Arabidopsis thaliana: one gene and its partners. The protein of the gene in region 1 interacts with the protein of each later gene in a biochemical or structural test. Each region holds a gene or a part of one and is shown in the gene's direction. Other genes may lie near its edges. The genes, in order: AT1G71450, ATMPK8, MPK5 and MPK16.

Region 1 (3,129 bases):
AGCATTAGTTTCTGTTTGTTTGTTTTTTTGTTATTCAAATTCCTCTATTTCTGTCTCATTTCAAGTTAACTTTATATCTTCTGTCTTTTCCGCCAGAGAAAACAAAAAGCTATCCTTTTCAAACCAAGACTCTTCCCTCCGACACTCATGCAAAGCAGACAGAGATGTGATTTTATACACGTTCGTTCTATTACTCAAAACAAAACAAAAAATTGTCTAAACCGTCTTACTTAAAAGACCGTGATGCAAAGAAATGTAATATTTGTTTTAAAGCATAGGCCGATATATCTCAAATGGTTGCAACAACTGTTTTAAAAAATAAAACACTACGCAAGCAACTACCCAACGTATATAACTCATTTTCTAAACGTGTTAAGATGAAACAATATATATTAGATATTTAGATACATGGGAAACTATCTAAAATATTATCACTGATAATATTTGTATATATATAGACATATATATATATATATATATAATCAAATAGCAAACCATAATATTTTAAAAAATATCATATATGAGAATTAGACAAAACATTATATTCAAAGAATTAAGAATGTCATGTTTTAGTAGGAACGAAATTTAAAAATAATTTATCGAGGCGCACAATCAATTAAAAAAAAAGATTGAACATTAAATGATCATTTATTATCGTATGTGTTGAGTCAACTAAAGCAGTCTAAGAGCATCTAGTTGTCTAACTTCAGTGATAATGTCCGACTAAAAAAAAACTTCATTGATAACAAAAATGCATAATTCCAAAGCTTAAGAGATATTTTGTTTACTTCTTTATTAAAAAAAAAGAGAGAGAGATATTTGCCACAATCTATGACTATATAATGGAATCTAAAATCTAAAAAATAAAATCAGACTAAATAAAGCTACACATAGTTAGATTTTTTTTTTTAACTCATATATATTGATCACACAAAAGAACTATCAATAAAATTCAAATGTGGTAATCAATCAAATGTGGTAGCCTAATGATTAAGGGCATATCTTGTAGATAGATGCTAGGGATCAAAATTTCATCCTTGAAGCAACCAAAATGTCTTAGAATTAGTAAGCTTGATTAGTAAAATAAATTATTACCAATGTTTTTTTATATTACGACCAATGTTTTAATTGATCAATTGACTCAAGAAAAGGAAGATTATTATGACCCAATGAGCTTTGACATTTGTTTTAGGATAAATCCCACTTTTGCACCAACTCTTAGCATCACAAAGTTATGGAATGGATCACAAAAGGGTCCCATAGATGATGCAAGAAAACCGCGTCTACTATAGCAAATCCAATCTCTTAAAACAAAACCTTAATATTCTGCCTCTTTCCTAAAACCTCTCATTAGTTTACTCATATTACTATTTGAGGGAATCTACAGTGCATTGATACTAAATAGATAACACTTGTTACACCCACAAAGGCCCATAACAATTTTGAAGTTTCCTCGAAGCTAACTTTGGAGGCTTTGAGATTTTAAAACGAGTACACAGGAGTTTATCTGCTGTTAAGATACTAATCCACACCTATAAATAAGTGCTGACAGTTACAAACATTCCAACATCAAAATCCAAACAGACAAAATACAAAATACAAAAACAACAAACACTCTTGAGCAAAAACTTTGTGTGCGTGTGTGTGTGTGTTCATGGCTGGTCTTAGGAATTCCGGTAACAGCGACAAAGCGCAAAACGATGGCAAAGGTGTACCATCTGCCTACAGAGGAGTCCGGAAGAGAAAATGGGGGAAATGGGTGTCTGAAATCCGTGAACCGGGGACCAAGAACCGTATCTGGCTAGGCAGTTTCGAGACTCCTGAAATGGCTGCAACCGCATACGACGTGGCAGCATTTCATTTCAGAGGGAGAGAAGCTCGTCTCAACTTCCCTGAGCTCGCCAGCAGCCTTCCACGTCCTGCAGACTCTAGCTCAGACAGCATTCGCATGGCAGTTCATGAGGCAACACTCTGCCGCACCACCGAAGGAACAGAGTCAGCCATGCAAGTGGACAGCTCAAGCTCCTCCAATGTAGCTCCAACAATGGTCAGACTCTCGCCCAGGGAAATTCAAGCGATCAACGAGTCAACTTTGGGATCTCCTACTACAATGATGCATTCAACATACGACCCTATGGAGTTTGCTAATGATGTGGAGATGAATGCTTGGGAAACATACCAGAGTGACTTTCTTTGGGACCCTTAACCCCAAAACCTAACTCATGGAGAGCTTCTACAGCTCAATCTTACAATACCAGCATAAGTTACTGGCTTAGAATACTTAAATTTATTGAAGTTTAGTTTTCAGAGTCTACCACAAGGGTTGTTGATTCTGACGTTATAGCAAAGAATAAAGCTCATCAGATTTTGGAGGGAAAGACTCTATGAGCTTGATGGGTCCCTGAAAGGACCTCTTCACAAATATTTTTAAATTTTTTTGTTACTAGTAGAAACATAGATTATGAGGTGTGACTTATTATTATTTTTTACAATTGTTTGTTACCTCATTGATGTATTTGATTTGATATAATATTGAATGGTTTCCTGAAAGCTATAAGATATTTTATTCTTACTAGACTTGTGTTCTCTCTTGACTTTCTTCCCTTAACTAATCTTAAGAAAACTCTACATTTGATACTGCAAGATTTTTACAAGTTGAACAAAATTCAATCATTCTGGAACCAAATTCAGTATATACAGCACTATTAATGCAAGTTCTTGGAAACAAGAGAACAGAATATACTTCTCATAACTCTTCGAGCAACTTACTTGGTGGCTTTGAGAAAAAGCAAAGAAGATGTCTGAATCTGCAGTCAGGTCTGTAGGGATGACGAGGAACTCATGACCGCAAGTCTTTGTGCCTCTTCAACACGACCACACCGATTGAGAAGTTCAATGACCAGTGAATAATGCTCTTCTGATGGCTGCAAATTGTACATCCGGAGCATCAAGTTGAAGAAGCGATAAGCTTCATCAACAAATCCGGCTTGACTGCAAATAGATAAAACTGCTGTAAATGTGAAGGTGTTGGGAGTAAACCCTCTTGATACCATTTGCTCAAAACAGTTTATTGCATCCCTGAAGAGTTCATTGCATCCATAAGCCTCTATAATGGCGGTCCATGTCAGA
Region 2 (5,764 bases), about 21 Mb from region 1:
AGCTGAACTGCTTCATAGCCTCAATCTGAGCAGCTTCAGGATCCTCCCTAGCACTTAACTCTAGAGCCAACTGTATCTGATATTCTTCTTCAACTTCTGGATCCTTGGAATTACTACTAGAACCCAAACCCTGCATCCCAGATTCCGACCCAACGGGACCACCATGTTCCATGGTAGTGTCATCCTCTTTGCTATTGGTGGCATTGGAAGAAGAAGGGCTTTTCCTGTGAGTAACAGAGCTTAACCAATTTGATAAACCCAAAAAGGGTTTGAATTCAGAGTTATCTTGAGACCTCAATGAATCAGAAGGAGATGGTTCTGCATCACTAGACTTATTGCTTCTGTTAGAGACTGAACCTTCACCATCGTCTCGTTGATTGGGCGTGATACGAAGCTTTTTGAGAAATTTCTTCATGTTCATCTTCATACTCCAAATGTTAGAGCAGCGAACATCGACCCGAAAACTCCTTCATCCCTCGAATACACAGAAAAACGAGAACTTTGTGCTAAAACCCTAATTCCTTGGTACCACGACCCGGAGATCTGGAACTCCGTCCAGATCAACGGCTCGTCAAAATCTAATAACTGCAGCAAAAGAATTCTCGAGAAAACCTTAAATCGGAATCCAAATCAAGTAGCAAGACTCTCAATGGAGATCAGATTTCGATTTCAAGAAAATACTTTTTTTTTTTATCTCCGGAGCTGATCAAAAACCCAATAAGAGAAAGTTTGGAGCTTTTTTCTCAGCAAGTAAGCGAAGCCTCTTCCTTCTCTTTGACTCTCTCCTGAATTGAGAAAGTCCACAAAGACGCCACTTTCTCTCTCTTAAAGTCCGACAAAAGAAAATCAACTAAAAAAAACTTACGTAAAACAGAGTAGAGTAGATAGATAGATACGAGTATAGTAGAGGATGAAGAGTGGATTTTTGAGCTGGAGAGAATTGAATTTTGTTTTGCTTTTTTTTGCTACTGTAATTAAAAAATTACTCTATTTTTTGTACAATCAGTCAAAGCTTAATGCAAATATAGAGCTATTTAAAAACTTACCAATTCATTTTTAATGCAAATATATCATGCAAAACCGTACATTTTGTTAAAAAAAATAAGAAATGATAAATCGCAGAATTGTTTACGATCGTGCTTTCCATATTCAATATTCCTTCGCGTATCTGGATTTGTTTGATATCATTTATTCAAATAAAATTTTGTCTTTTTGGCTGAAAAAATGCTTCGCTCACCACCTTATGCATTATCCTCCCATGACATATCACATATATCATCAAGCGTATTATTCACTAAAAAATGCTTAGATTACGCTACTGTCGGATTCATTTATGACCCAATAACTATGATGTGCTCGAACCGCAACAGACTCCTGGACCTGCTCAGCTCATGATGAAATATATGTTCATATCATCAACGCGACCGAACGAGCAAGGCGTTTTTACTCTCTCTTTTTTTGTGTCTCAGATTCATAATTAGACTTTTAATTCCGGTTTGTAATGTAACATCTAACATCTTCTTAATTTCGAACCTTGTCCGGTTGAGTTTAATCCGTTTAGTGATTGAACGAAAATACATTTATTGTATGGGCCGCTTTGTAGGCCCATATACTCAATAAATGCATATGCCCGAATCAGGTTATCATTAACCGGTATAGACAAACCGGGTCGTCGAAATATTCCAAAGGTTTAAATATTTTGTTCTTCTCCCTCCACTCACTCTCTCTAATAATCAAGCAGGGGAAAAAAATAAATATCTGAGCATAAATAATGAAAAAAACATAAAAAGAAAATTAAAAAAAAAATGAAAAAATAGGAGAAGAACATGGTCTCCAACTCCGAAGGACAAAACCGAGAGACGCGGCGAGAAAGACGGTGACTTGACGGTAATTGTTTGGCTCTCAAGGAATTTCGGATACCCAATTTTGTAAATTACTAATCTTTTTCTTTTCTAATCTAGTAGTGGTCTATGGGTGGTGGTGGGAATCTCGTCGACGGTGTTCGTCGATGGCTTTTTCAGCGACCTTCTTCTTCTTCTTCTTCTTCTTCTTCCAACAATAATAATAATAATCACGAACAACCCATTTTCAATTCTTCTTCTTTCTCTTCTTCCTCTAACCCCAATCATTCCGCTAACTCTGGAGAGCTTATTATTGAAGAAGATCTCGATTTCTCTGGTCTAACGCTTATTAACGTTCCTAAACGTAATCATTTACCTATGGATCCTCACAAGAAGGTACCTTTCTTCTTCTCCTTCTCTACCCTTTTATGCTATTTGCTCTTAGATGTTGTCTTTTGATTGAGATTGAAGAGACTTGTTTTGTTCTCTTAATGTTCTGTGTTATTGCATTTGCTTCCACAAAAGGATAAAGTTTCAGTTTTGTGTTTCGTTTGATTGATCTTATTGTCTTGATCCATCATTTTGGTCAATTTTAAGTATGAATCATGAATAAAATTCTTCAGGGTGAAACTGAATTCTTCACGGAGTATGGAGAAGCTAACAGGTATCAGATTCAAGAGGTTGTTGGCAAAGGAAGTTATGGTGTTGTGGCTTCTGCTGTTGACTCACACACTGGAGAGAGAGTTGCGATCAAGAAGATCAACGATGTGTTTGAGCATGTCTCCGATGCTACTAGGATTCTCAGAGAGATCAAATTGCTTCGGTTGCTTCGTCATCCTGATGTTGTGGAGATTAAACACATCATGTTACCTCCTTCTCGCAGAGAATTCCGCGATATTTATGTTGTCTTTGAGTTGATGGAATCTGATCTTCATCAAGTGATCAAGGCGAATGATGATTTGACTCCTGAGCATTATCAGTTTTTCTTGTACCAGCTTCTTCGTGGTCTGAAATATGTTCACGCAGGTTAGTTTCTGGTTTTACACATTGGTCTCTTTCGATCCTCATGATTTTTGTTATAGATAATATTGAAACACTTAAGGGTTCTCTGTTTTCAGCTAATGTGTTTCATCGGGATTTGAAACCGAAGAACATTCTAGCTAATGCTGATTGCAAATTGAAGATCTGTGATTTTGGGCTGGCTCGCGTTTCTTTTAACGATGCCCCAACCGCTATATTTTGGACTGTGAGTCATCTAACTCAATGTGAAAGCAAAACTGTTCATTAGGCTTCCTCTTAACTATTTTCAAATGCTTGTGAGCTCATTTCGTTTATATGGATTTTGTAGGATTATGTAGCTACTCGGTGGTATCGTGCCCCTGAACTCTGTGGATCGTTTTTCTCCAAAGTAAGATTCTTTTTCACCAAACCCAACTACTCTTGCTATTTCTCCCTACCAGGAAAATGCTTCTAGTTTTCTATTTTGTAGAATATTGTTGTGTGGTTCTATAGTGTTGTTGAGAAGACCAGCCATCTCAAGCTAAGTCTACTCTTGTTATATTTCAGTATACCCCTGCGATTGATATCTGGAGTGTCGGTTGCATTTTTGCGGAAATGCTTTTGGGTAAGCCTTTGTTTCCCGGGAAAAACGTTGTGCACCAATTGGATCTAATGACTGACTTTCTTGGTACTCCACCTCCTGAGTCAATATCAAGGGTTAGTCACTCAAAACACTTGTTCATATTTTCTGTAGCAAATTTAATGTTCCATACATCATTGAGAGTAATTTAATCCTTGTAATGAGCTTTGCAATCTTGGACTTCTACAGATTAGAAATGAAAAGGCGAGGAGATATCTTAGCAGCATGAGGAAAAAACAACCAGTCCCTTTCTCTCATAAATTCCCTAAAGCTGATCCTTTGGCTCTCCGCCTTCTGGAACGCCTGCTTGCCTTTGATCCGAAAGATCGTGCATCAGCTGAAGATGTAAGTGAGAAGTAAATTTGCTTTACTTTTCCCTTTTGTTTTATACAGAACGAAACTCTTATATTCGTCGTTTTTGATTTTCATATTACAGGCACTAGCTGATCCATATTTCAGTGGTTTGTCAAATTCAGAGCGTGAACCAACAACACAGCCAATTTCAAAGCTTGAATTTGACTTTGAGAGAAAGAAGTTAGTTAAAGATGATGTCAGAGAATTAATTTACCGAGAGGTAACAAACAAACACAAAAGCCTTCTACATATATCCTTTTCTTTAATCTGAATTTGTTTCAATGTTATTCATTGATCCTAACAATCACTTTTCTTTGGATTTTGTAAATATCAGATATTGGAATATCATCCTCAGATGTTGGAGGAATACCTTCGTGGTGGTGATCAGCTTAGCTTTATGTACCCAAGGTTAGCTAATTAACAGTTAACAGAAACTATAAGTCTTGAAAACAGAAAGTTATGAACTCGATAAATCTTTTTGTTGTTTACGCGCAGTGGGGTAGACCGATTTAAAAGGCAATTTGCTCATCTTGAAGAAAATCAAGGTAAACCAGGAGCAGCAGGAGGAGGAAGAAGTACTGCACTTCACAGACATCATGCTTCCTTGCCAAGGTAATGTCTTTCACAGAATCTCTCTATCTCTTCTCTTCTCTTCTCAATCTCCCTCTGAGAGCATTGTGCTTCTCTATGATGATGTTGCAGAGAGAGAGTTCCTGCTCCAAATGGTGAAACTGCAGAAGAAAGCAGTGATGTTGAGAGAAGAGCAGCAGCTGCTGTGGCTTCAACCTTGGAATCCGAGGAAGCAGACAATGGAGGAGGTTACAGTGCTCGTAACCTCATGAAGAGTGCAAGCATCAGCGGTTCTAAATGCATTGGTGTCCAATCTAAAACTGACAAAGAGGTTAGTTAGTAAAGAAAGAAAGAAAGAAAAACAGAAGATCTTGAAAAGGAACATGACGATGAAGTTTGCTTACTGTTGTTCTTTTCTCTTTGTTTGCAGGATACCATAGCTGAGGAAGAAGATAATGAAACAGTTGCAGAGCTTACTGATAAAGTTGCTTCTCTTCACAATTCTTAAAAATGATTTAGTTATTTTTTTTCTTTTCTTTTCTTTTTTCACGAAAGTTTTCTGGTGAAAAGAAATTGGTTTCTCCATTCATCCACATCTATCTTCGTGGTTGGGTTTGATTTGTTGTATTTAATAGTTTTGGGGGTTTGATGAAACTTTAAATAAAAACATCGATCTCCATGTAATTTTTTTGTTTCTCTCTTTTCTTTAAACACTCATATTTTGAAATTATTTATATACTATTCAGTATTCACTTTGCTTCAGTACTTTGGGAGAGTTTGTGTGATTGGTATGATCCGGTCCAGGTCAAACCGGGATATTGGGTCTTATATAATAAATTATATTAACCTGAAGAACATACTCGACTTCTTAAAAGTAAAAAAGATAAGACTAAAAAATTAGCACACATAATAATAATGCTGTGTTAGTTGGCTTTTTAATGACGAAGACTAACCTAATATCTATTATTTATATTCCATGGTCCATCTGAATTGATACCATTCTTGGACTAATCTCATAACGACAAAATAAAATAAATAAAACGACAAAAAGAAGAAGAAAAAAAATGAACAAAATCGGGTTTTTGAAAAAGAGGTCAGAAATAATGGTATGGTCGAGTAAAGTGAGCTCCAGGGAGCTTACTCACCAACTCCAAACTACAGTCTCGATAAGAAAAAGAAACTGCAAAAAGTTGATGTATATATGGCGAACAAAGTCCACAGACGCCAGATTGGTTAAAGCAATTAGGCTACACTGTTTTTACATTATTTAGTAGAAATACTAATTGAATTTGTGCATGTTTAAAAGTGAAAAAAAACTAACATTATACTAATGGATCATGCCGCCAAACTTTGGAATTTG
Region 3 (4,668 bases), on another chromosome or scaffold:
ATCTTTTCCCACGGAACAAAGATTATTTATTAGTATCCATATACATACAAATATACAATACACTCAAGCCACTCATATTTCGTACTTGATCAAGATATTTTCCCCCGGTAAAATCCAATTTAGAATTGTACAACATATATATTGGAAGTTCCGTTGTGTCATACCGTCACACTAATAATACAGCATACCAATAATAGAGCGCAAACGTTTCACATTGAATAGTTCACCACATATCAACTTGAGTAAATTATTATGCTTAGAGTTGTTGTCTTTTTGTTTTTTTATTTTTTTTGAATATCTGGAAATTCAAACTCAAAGACCTTACATTTTCTAGAGGCGGGATCCACACCAGATTAAATTCATATCCTTTGGGAAAGAAATCTCTTCCAACATGCCTCAAACCCAGTATTTCTAACTGAGAGATTTACCTACATAATTCAACAATCATGTCTATTATGTTTTCAATTTAGGATATCTAAAAATATTGTGAAGATAAACGAAACAAAACTTGAGGGAAAAAAAACAGTCACGTGAGTCATGAGTTATAAAGCATGGATAATGTTGGAGATCTAATTAATCTAATTGAATGCCACATCAAATTAAGCCAATCAGTGGAGAAGATCAATAATAAAAGTGAATTGGATCTGCCACTACACTTTTAGCATGAATATGGCTAAAAGAGATTGGTATTGGTAATGGTATCGTTGTCGGAGATTGTCGTACCAATTAAATAACATGTAATTATTGGATATATATTATATTGTGTCGGCCTAGTCATATTTGATGTGTAAGTGCGAGTGATTTGAGTTAGATATGGGGTATTTTACGAGGAAAATATTGAACAATTTAGGGTATTTTAAGGGTTGTAGTTTGAGCATCACAAGTTAATTATATTTAGGTTCTGCGTAAATTTGACTCAAAAGATTAAGTTATCAAAAGAAACCTCGTATAATATGATCCATATTAATTTTCTTTTTTTTATATAGAAAAGTTGAAGATTATGAGTAAATTGGTAAACTCGCGATATTCCAGAGTTCAAAACGTAATTTTAATGACAATTTGGTGAATAGTATAAATTAATATATTAAGTAAAAGATAACATTCTATTCGATATTGGTTTAATATGTCAACTGTTATATGTACATATAAGATGTTACTGATATATTAAGTGAATAATATGATATTCACCAAAAAAAATTGTATAATGAATGTGACTTTGAGTTGAAAGTTTGAAAACGAAGAGACTATAACATTTGAAGGAATCTATGGAATACGGGTGTGGAACCAATAGTGGAGGCCCTCTTCATAAACCGAGTTTCCCGAGATCCAAATTGTGCTGATGGAGCGGTTTCTAACGTTCTTGTCGATAATACTTGCAAGCTTGGCCGAAGGAACAGAAGAGTTACCATGACGTCTACCATTACGCTCGCACCACAAAGTATGAATTGATTATATGGAATACATACCTTAGAATGAAAGTATGTAGTTTTGGATGAGAATCATCAAGTAGAAGAGGAGAGATTAAACTCCAACTTGTATTGTATCTCAGTATCTGTTGCGAAGAATTCCTTTAGTGAGAGATGTGTATTGATAGGTGAAAAGGAAAAGGTCTCTTACTTTCATATTACGTGGGCCTCATAACATAGACCAGAGCTGATAGCATACCTCTCTCTATATTAAATAGATGGGCCAGGCCCAAACGTTTACCCATCTGTATTTATTACAAAGTACACGTGGCTGATGGACATGTGACGATACGTTTTGACCTATTCAAAATATTCAAACTAATGAAAAAGAGTCGTTGTCCTCTGACGCGTCTCTCTCTATCTCCTTAGATTTTCAAAGTTTTCAACATTCAACAAAATCATTATTTTAATTTTGCAGAGACGAATCGAATCGATCTCATCTCCAAAAATCTTGTATTCAAAGTTTGATTTTCTGGGTTTCTTCTGTATTATCTCGATATTTGAAAAAAATGGCGAAGGAAATTGAATCAGCGACAGATTTAGGTGATACTAACATCAAAGGAGTTCTTGTTCATGGAGGAAGATATTTTCAATACAATGTTTATGGAAACTTGTTTGAAGTTTCTAATAAGTATGTTCCTCCTATTCGACCTATTGGTAGAGGAGCTTACGGTTTTGTCTGGTACAACTTCTACCCTTTTGTGTATTTCATATTCTTGTTTCTTACTTAGTATTTGTAACCCTAATTAGATAAAGAACTAAGTATTGGTATAGGTTTTTGAATTAGGGTTGCTTGCAAAATTTGATCTTTTTTGGATTTAAGAAAGGTTCTGTCTTCAAAATCATAGTTTAAATTGAATGAATTTGATGATTTGTTTGTGTTTGTGTTTATGTATAAGCAAAATGATTCATGAGAGTATTGGTTTATTGTTATAGTGCTGCAGTAGATTCGGAGACACACGAAGAGATTGCGATAAAGAAGATAGGTAAAGCCTTTGATAATAAAGTAGATGCAAAGAGAACATTGAGAGAGATTAAGCTACTTCGTCATTTAGAACACGAGAACGTAAGTTTTGTACTCTATTTTCGCGGTAAACGATTAGAGTTTCTAGCTAATGTGGTCTTGACTTGTACAGGTTGTTGTTATAAAAGATATCATTAGACCACCAAAGAAGGAAGATTTCGTTGATGTTTATATAGTTTTTGAGTTAATGGATACTGATCTTCATCAGATTATTCGATCAAACCAATCTTTGAATGATGATCATTGTCAGGTACGGTTTTTACTCTGCTATATTTGATACTATGGTTGATTTAATCACAAGTGATTCACTTTTTCTTCTTTTGCAGTACTTCTTGTATCAGATTCTACGAGGACTCAAATATATTCATTCAGCAAATGTTTTACATCGTGACCTTAAGCCGAGTAATTTGCTTTTGAATTCGAATTGCGATCTTAAGATTACTGACTTTGGTTTGGCAAGGACTACATCAGAAACAGAGTATATGACAGAGTATGTTGTAACACGATGGTACAGAGCACCAGAGCTGCTTCTTAATAGTTCTGAGTATACATCTGCTATTGATGTATGGTCTGTTGGTTGCATATTTGCTGAGATTATGACAAGGGAACCGCTTTTCCCGGGGAAGGATTACGTTCATCAGCTTAAACTTATCACTGAGGTATGATGTTCTGTTTTAGAAAGATCTGTACAAATGTTGGAAACTTTTATTTGTGTGTTGCAATGTGTTTATGAGTTGTTTCATGTGGTTGAGTAGTTGATAGGATCACCTGATGGAGCGAGTCTAGAGTTTCTCAGAAGCGCGAACGCGAGAAAATATGTTAAGGAGCTACCTAAGTTCCCAAGACAAAACTTTTCAGCTAGGTTTCCTAGTATGAATTCTACAGCTATCGATCTACTAGAGAAAATGCTCGTGTTTGATCCAGTAAAACGTATCACGGGTATGATGAGAAAAATTGTACATAGCGAGATTGGCATATGGGTGATGAATCCTTGATCATACTCTTTGTTTTGCAGTTGAGGAAGCACTGTGTTATCCTTACTTGTCAGCTCTTCACGACCTTAACGACGAGCCTGTTTGTTCCAACCATTTCAGTTTCCATTTTGAGGATCCGTCTTCCACTGAAGAAGAGATAAAGGAGCTTGTGTGGCTCGAATCTGTGAAGTTCAATCCTCTGCCGAGCATTTAAAACATTATTTAAGAAGGGGAAAGCAAGTTTTATACTCTGACATTGAGCAAAACAAATTAGTAGTGTTTAAGCTCTGTTTCTCCTTCATCTCATGTTGATCGTTGTTTAAGCTATTTCACTAGTTAAAAAAGCTGTCTTGCAACTCAAGAAATTGTTCTATAAGGATCCTTGTAACCCAAGACATATCTTTAGTAGTTATGTCCATTCTTATTATCAGGATGTCTTAGATAGTGTTCTGTTTCTTCTACATATCATGTTGTTATCTTGTAACTCAAGAAATTAAATTAAAAAGCTATCTTTGTTTAGACTTGTATCATGTCACTTGGATTGTACTCGTAGAAAATGGGAAAAACTCGATGTGTTTATTCATCTCCAGCAGTTTCTTCAAGCACTACGTCGAGCTCTTGCAAATTTTGGTAATGAACACTAGTTCGATCCTTCACTCTCGAAACTCGACAAAAAAGTCTATCAACTTCGTCTCTTGACTCTATTCGAGTGATATTTTCATCATCTAGAAGGACGTTGATCCCACTCCTTCGTAACGCGGCTCTAAGAAGGCTGGAGAACTTGTTGCGGATCTCTCGACTCCGAAAACTTATGTAAACTTGATGTTGCGGCGTAATCTAGAGATTTTACAATGATTAGCCACTAGATTTATACAATAATTATATATATATAATTAACATACAGTATGTTCTTTTGTACACACCTTTTTTTTTTCTTTGTCATTGGCAATATTTCAATTTCTCTAATTCTAGAACTACATAATTTTTGATTTAATAGGATTACGTACGTGTGATGAGGAAACGTTGTCAAGCATTGCCTTAACCTTCTCGACGATTTCATTTACGAAGGTTGCTTGGTTGCTTCCAAAACAAAGTAAGAAAGAAAACAAATCATATAAGTATGATAACAATGTCGCAAATGGAAGAAACTACTGTTAAATGACCTCATTTTTAGTACGTAAGATTTTGAAAGTTATAAAGACTA
Region 4 (5,940 bases), on another chromosome or scaffold:
TGCATTATGTCTATATGTTTCGACTTTGCTTTGATCATGTTTGCTTGTTTTGGTTATGAGTTTGTGACAGGTTGCTCCTAAGAAGAAAGGCAGGATTTATGGGGCTGGTTCATTGCAGCATGAGGCGTCTTCGGCGCATGCCGGACCGGTGCTTCCTCGAGATGATCCGGTTGTGCTTTCCCAGAAGCTGGCTGCTGTTGAAGCCCTCATTGCAAACCAGGCTGAGAAGATCACCAGTTTTGACGCATACTTTGATTACCTTGCCAAGAAGGATCCAGAGTTTGCTGCCTTGTTTCGAGTCAGATCCTCTTCAAGAACTGAACCAGTCAGCTCCAATCCACCTGATGCGCCTAATGCCACAACTGCTGGGATCGGACCTGAAGCTGTCGAACCTGAGGCTGTTGTAGCTAACCCAAACACTGGGTCATCTCCATCTGAGGCTTTCTAACATTCTGTATTAAGTTTCTTTTTCACTCATCAAAACTTGAATCTTTTGTTGGTTTGTTATGTAAAATTATTTGGCCTTCTAACATTCTGTATTCAGTTTCTTTTTCTGTACTTGAAACCTAAAATTTCAGCTTTTAAATATGAGTTTAAGGTTTCTTAATTAGTATTCAACTTCAAAGTTTAGTATAAAAATCCAATTAAGATAACCATTAAATATTGTTAAGTAGAACAGTAATCCCTATATTCAACAGTAATCATGCTTAAAACAAAACAGAAAAGAGTCGCTTATTTACCGCGAATCCATCGCAAACTTTACTACGGATTTGCGACTACAGATAAAAGCCACGCAAATCCATCGCAAATTTTGCGAGGCATTAGCGGGACAAAGAATTTGCGACTACTTTGCTACTGAAGTATTCCCTCGCAACTTGCGAGGAAAGAGCGAGGCTACTGTTGCAGCTAATATGCTACCGAGTACGTCCCTCGCAAATTGCGTGTGCTTCGCGAGTCTGGTCGTCCGTCGCAACTAGCGAGAAACTTGCGAGACCCGAAATTTGCTGTGAATTTGCTACGGATTGCTTCCCTTGCAAATTGCGTGTGTTTTGCGAGGCAACTTGTTCCTCGCAACATTTGCGAGGAACTTGCTACGAATTTGATTTTACGACGCGCGTTTTGCGAGGAACTGGAGTTCGTCGCAATTCCCTCGCTAAATGCTTTTTGCGAGAGACTAGCGACGGTTTCTTCCCTCGCAACTGGCGTGTTTTCTTGTAGTGACATCTACTTGAAGATTTAAAGCTTCGCTTTATTTATACGTTTGAAATCGATGCAAATGCAATTTTTCCAACCATGCAAAAGTTTACGCATGCAAGCACCTACAGTTATGAAGCAATTTCAAAGAACCCACCAAAGACAGAAGATATTAGATACGAAATACATATTTCAAATAAAATACTAGATTGACGATTGCATATATAAGTTTTTGTAAGTTTCTTGTACCATTGTACATAACTCATAAATATTGTCTCTAGATAATTAAGTATGTCTTATCGGTCAAATTCTATATCTTAAAAATAAGTAAGATTACTCATTAACTGCATACGAAAAAAAATTTAAACCACTCATTTCAATCGGATTCGAAATATAGGATAATCCACTTCATTTATATGTCTTTAACAACGACTATGACACGAAAGAAAATTATAAAGTAAACGAACTATTTATTATTGTAATAATTATAAGTCATCACTAATCCATAATAAATCGGATATCTATTCATTAAGAAGAGCATATATTAAAATAGTTTATACAAAAATATCCACACTGTATTATATTCGACGTTTGGACATTATCCAAAAGCTAGATTTAAGACAAAAGTCGCAAGTACCCATAAACCTTGGGGGGCAAATTGGAGTTTTCGTACAACGATAATCAGACTCCACTTATCCGCTTTTTTCAATTATCACAATAAAAGAAACGAATAATAATAATATTTTAATAATTTGTTCTGTTCTGTTCTTCATCTCATAGATCTCTCCTCTCTACACTTTCTTCTACAAAAGTGAGCAAATAAACTTGCCTCTTCGTCTGCTTCGTGAGATTTCAGATCCTGTAAAGAAATTTTATTAGCTCAAAAGAATCATTTTTGGGTTTCTGAACCATAAAAGCTTCTCTCGACTTTCAAAAACTCTCTCCTTTTTCCTTTTAGCCATTTCAAGCAGAGAGATTGATCGAAGAAGATAAAAACCTCGTCTTTCTTCAATCTCAGTGATTCTCAAATTACCCATCGCTTCCTTCTTTTGATCTCTTTGATTTCACTTCAAAAAGCAAAGAAATCTCGATTAGGTTATTCCTTGTTTCACCCCATAAATTTGCCTCCTTTTTTTTGGTCTCGGGAACTACTCTGATTTGTTTCAATCGATTCTGGATTTCGGGATTTGGATATAGAGCTCTCTGTTTTTGACATTGCCTTTGGAACTAAAATTCTCAGTCTTTGCATTTTTTTGATTCAAAAGCTCACTAAGTTTGGGTTTCAGAAGCTATTACATTTGGTCTTCGTAAGCGTCCTTTGAATGCCCTGTAGCTGAAGATGCAGCCTGATCACCGCAAAAAGGTCCAATTTTTCAATCTCTTATGTATCAGATTTGCTTATTAGAACTGATTAGGATCTGTAGCAATCCTTTTTACTGTTACTGCCTTTTAGTTTAGTCCTAATCTTTCTCTGTATTGAAGCTTTTGATATTGACAATAGATTTTTCTGTATATTCAGTCATCAGTTGAGGTAGATTTCTTCACGGAATATGGTGAAGGAAGCAGATACAGAATAGAGGAAGTGATTGGTAAAGGAAGTTATGGAGTTGTCTGTTCTGCTTACGATACACATACCGGAGAGAAAGTTGCGATTAAGAAAATCAATGATATCTTTGAGCATGTTTCGGATGCAACTCGCATTCTTCGTGAGATCAAACTTCTTAGACTCTTACGCCATCCTGACATTGTTGAGATCAAACACATCTTGTTGCCGCCTTCAAGAAGAGAGTTTCGAGACATTTACGTGGTTTTCGAGCTTATGGAATCTGATTTGCATCAGGTTATTAAGGCAAATGATGATTTGACTCCTGAGCATTATCAGTTTTTCCTCTATCAGCTTCTTCGTGGCCTCAAGTATATACACACAGGTTAAGCTAGCGAGCAATAAAATTTCATTGATTAGTATAAGTTTATGATTATCTTTCTGAAAATACTTTTTTTTTCTCTTCCTTTCAGCTAATGTCTTTCATCGGGATCTTAAACCCAAAAACATATTGGCAAATGCTGATTGCAAACTCAAGATCTGTGATTTTGGACTTGCAAGAGTCGCATTCAATGATACACCGACTGCGATATTCTGGACTGTGAGTAGTAGTAATTTAAATGCTTACTCTTTACAAGTTTACTCTTTTTGGTATGAAACCAATTTTTTATTCCTACTGCTTTCTGATCGCAGGATTATGTAGCTACTCGATGGTACAGGGCTCCAGAACTATGTGGATCTTTTTTCTCAAAGGTGACCATGATTTTGTATATATACTTTCATCGAATGTTTCAAATTTTCATAGGGAATCTAGTCAGTAGACACTATAGCTCTCTCATTCAGATTATAAAATTTTATGGTAACATTTTTTTTCTTTATCTATGCTTCTGTTCAGTATACACCGGCAATAGATATATGGAGCATCGGGTGCATTTTTGCAGAACTCTTAACAGGGAAACCTCTTTTCCCCGGGAAAAATGTGGTCCATCAATTGGATCTGATGACGGATATGCTGGGAACTCCATCTGCTGAAGCCATTGGAAGGGTATGTGTTCCTTTCCACAATGCTTAAGCATTGTTTCTTTTTTTGGCTGAATTTCTTACACTGAAACAGGTTAGGAACGAGAAAGCTCGAAGATACTTGAGCAGCATGAGGAAGAAGAAGCCTATTCCTTTTTCACATAAGTTCCCACATACTGATCCTCTTGCTCTTCGTCTTCTAGAAAAGATGTTGTCTTTTGAACCCAAGGACCGGCCTACAGCTGAAGAGGTGGTTCATACATTTCGTTCTTTACACTCCTTATGATGTAACTTTGGTTATAGCTAACTAAATGGTTTTATGTGTTACCTCAGGCGCTTGCAGATGTGTACTTCAAGGGTTTAGCTAAGGTTGAAAGAGAGCCTTCTGCTCAACCTGTCACAAAGTTGGAATTTGAGTTTGAAAGGCGGAGGATCACAAAAGAAGACGTCCGAGAGCTCATATACAGAGAGTCTCTGGAGTACCACCCAAAGATGCTGAAAGAATACTTGGATGGATCAGAGCCAACTAACTTTATGTACCCGAGGTACCGGCCTGAGCTGACCTGCTTCATACTATACTCCTGTGTATTATCCATGTTCTTATGGTTAATGTATTATTCATTCTGCAGTGCGGTGGAACATTTCAAGAAACAATTTGCTTACCTCGAGGAACACTACAAGAATGGTACTTCTCATAATCCCCCTGAGAGGCAACAGCATGCATCATTACCAAGGTATGCTTTACGTCCTTTAAAAATTTGATCATTTGGGATTCTTTCGAAACAGCTCAACAAAGCCTCTTTTTATGTTTTGCAGGGCTTGCGTATTGTACTCTGATAACAATCATCCGGTGGCACAACAGAGTTCAGCTGAAGTCACTGATGGACTCTCCAAGTGTAGCATTAGAGACGAGAGACCTCGGGGTGCAGACAGGAATGCCCAGATGCCAATGTCGAGAATTCCTATCAACGTCCCTCAAACAATCCAAGGTCTCTCACCCTCTCTGTATATAATGTTATGATGCAGAATAACTCTGTCTCCTGAACATTTATCTGGTTGTAATGAAGCAGGTGCTGCAGTAGCTAGGCCTGGTAAAGTAGTTGGATCAGTGTTACGCTATAACAACTGCGGCGCAGCCACAGGCGTTGAAGCTCTTGAACAACAACAGAGAAGGATGGTCAGAAATCCAGCTGCTGCGTCTCAATACCCAAAGAGGACTCAACCTTGCAAAAGCAACAGAGGAGATGAAGATTGCGCCACCGCTGCTGAAGGTCCAAGTAGATTGAAGCCAAACACTCAGTATATACCACAAAAAGTGTCTGCAGCACAAGATACTGCAATGAGTCGCTGGTATTAAACATGATGTTATGGTTCTAGTTTTAGCTTTACCACCTCACGTCTCAGGGAGAGCTAAAAAGAGTATCCCTTTGAGTCATCCATTGTGTTATCAAGAGCCGAAACGTGAAGACATGCTTAAGAGCGAAATGAGAGAAGGAAGCGTGAGAAGATAAAAGAAGTTCTTACAGATCCTGTCATGTAATTTGTCTTCATAGTTTTGTATTCTTAAAACAACCTTTGTTTATCTACGTTGTAACACTTACACTGTCTACGATTCTTATATCCCATGAACTCAATCTGTTTCACCTAATAATCTGATATGCACCAACAATAAACCCCAAATTTCATTGGATCTTTGATTTATGAGAAAACGCGTTGAAAACGATTCATTGTACTTGCTAGATCCGATTAGATCAGCCATTATCCATAACAGAGATTATACAATGCACAAATCTTTCTTCTTTCTCTCCCATTCAGTGCAACCGGGGCTTCACTCGTCTTCCACTCGCGTCACAACCATCGGCAAATATTTCTTTTCGATGTCCAGATACTATAACAGAGTGTTCACTTAGCCTCGCCACATACTGCAATAGCTCCGTTAGTAAAGATGGGCAACTCTCTTTCAGATAATCAAACCCATCTGTTTGCATCACAGCTGATCATAACAAAAGGGAAAAAACAGACACAAGTCTCATCATGTGAACAGAGTTGATTCAGATCGATTAAAAAGAAAGATCTTGTGTGTTTACCTTTCAGGTTCTCTGGCAGTGCCACGAATTTGAGACACACTGCTTTTAGCTGCAAACAATGATGCTGCTCTGCTAGGGCCAAAGTAGTTGCAACCG

The links.
Region 2: of the proteins of AT1G71450 (region 1) and ATMPK8, one has a biochemical effect on the other in vitro, tested with the Arabidopsis thaliana proteins (one large-scale study listed by BioGRID).
Region 3: of the proteins of AT1G71450 (region 1) and MPK5, one has a biochemical effect on the other in vitro, tested with the Arabidopsis thaliana proteins (one large-scale study listed by BioGRID).
Region 4: of the proteins of AT1G71450 (region 1) and MPK16, one has a biochemical effect on the other in vitro, tested with the Arabidopsis thaliana proteins (one large-scale study listed by BioGRID).

The regions. Positions count from the first base shown.
Region 1 is NC_003070.9:26,925,434-26,928,562, forward strand, and holds AT1G71450 (Integrase-type DNA-binding superfamily protein), read left to right. Parts: upstream 1-1,578; 5' UTR 1,579-1,654; coding exon 1,655-2,206; 3' UTR 2,207-2,623; downstream 2,624-3,129. Other genes in the region: AT1G71460 (Pentatricopeptide repeat (PPR-like) superfamily protein), read right to left, coding at 2,814-3,129.
Region 2 is NC_003070.9:6,243,789-6,249,552, reverse strand, and holds ATMPK8 (Protein kinase superfamily protein), read left to right. Parts: upstream 1-1,740; 5' UTR 1,741-1,887; exon of another isoform or gene 1,888-1,961; 5' UTR 1,962-1,970; coding exon 1,971-2,237; intron 2,238-2,464; coding exon 2,465-2,867; intron 2,868-2,959; coding exon 2,960-3,087; intron 3,088-3,189; coding exon 3,190-3,249; intron 3,250-3,407; coding exon 3,408-3,557; intron 3,558-3,669; coding exon 3,670-3,825; intron 3,826-3,916; coding exon 3,917-4,054; intron 4,055-4,168; coding exon 4,169-4,242; intron 4,243-4,329; coding exon 4,330-4,446; intron 4,447-4,536; coding exon 4,537-4,735; intron 4,736-4,834; coding exon 4,835-4,912; 3' UTR 4,913-5,255; downstream 5,256-5,764. Other genes in the region: AT1G18160 (Protein kinase superfamily protein), read right to left, coding at 1-427. UniProt on the Arabidopsis thaliana protein: MKK3-MPK8 and CAMs-MPK8 modules negatively regulates ROS accumulation through controlling expression of the RBOHD gene during wounding.
Region 3 is NC_003075.7:6,890,168-6,894,835, forward strand, and holds MPK5 (MAP kinase 5), read left to right. Parts: upstream 1-1,758; 5' UTR 1,759-1,975; coding exon 1,976-2,148; intron 2,149-2,402; coding exon 2,403-2,532; intron 2,533-2,602; coding exon 2,603-2,740; intron 2,741-2,816; coding exon 2,817-3,149; intron 3,150-3,245; coding exon 3,246-3,429; intron 3,430-3,505; coding exon 3,506-3,678; 3' UTR 3,679-4,040; downstream 4,041-4,668. Other genes in the region: AT4G11340 (Disease resistance protein (TIR-NBS-LRR class) family), read right to left, coding at 4,041-4,301, 4,472-4,544.
Region 4 is NC_003076.8:6,344,270-6,350,209, reverse strand, and holds MPK16 (mitogen-activated protein kinase 16), read left to right. Parts: upstream 1-1,942; 5' UTR 1,943-2,533; coding exon 2,534-2,557; intron 2,558-2,713; coding exon 2,714-3,122; intron 3,123-3,210; coding exon 3,211-3,338; intron 3,339-3,430; coding exon 3,431-3,490; intron 3,491-3,632; coding exon 3,633-3,782; intron 3,783-3,851; coding exon 3,852-4,007; intron 4,008-4,090; coding exon 4,091-4,302; intron 4,303-4,386; coding exon 4,387-4,491; intron 4,492-4,573; coding exon 4,574-4,746; intron 4,747-4,827; coding exon 4,828-5,114; 3' UTR 5,115-5,440; downstream 5,441-5,940. Other genes in the region: BPM1 (BTB-POZ and MATH domain 1), read right to left, coding at 5,569-5,750, 5,845-5,940.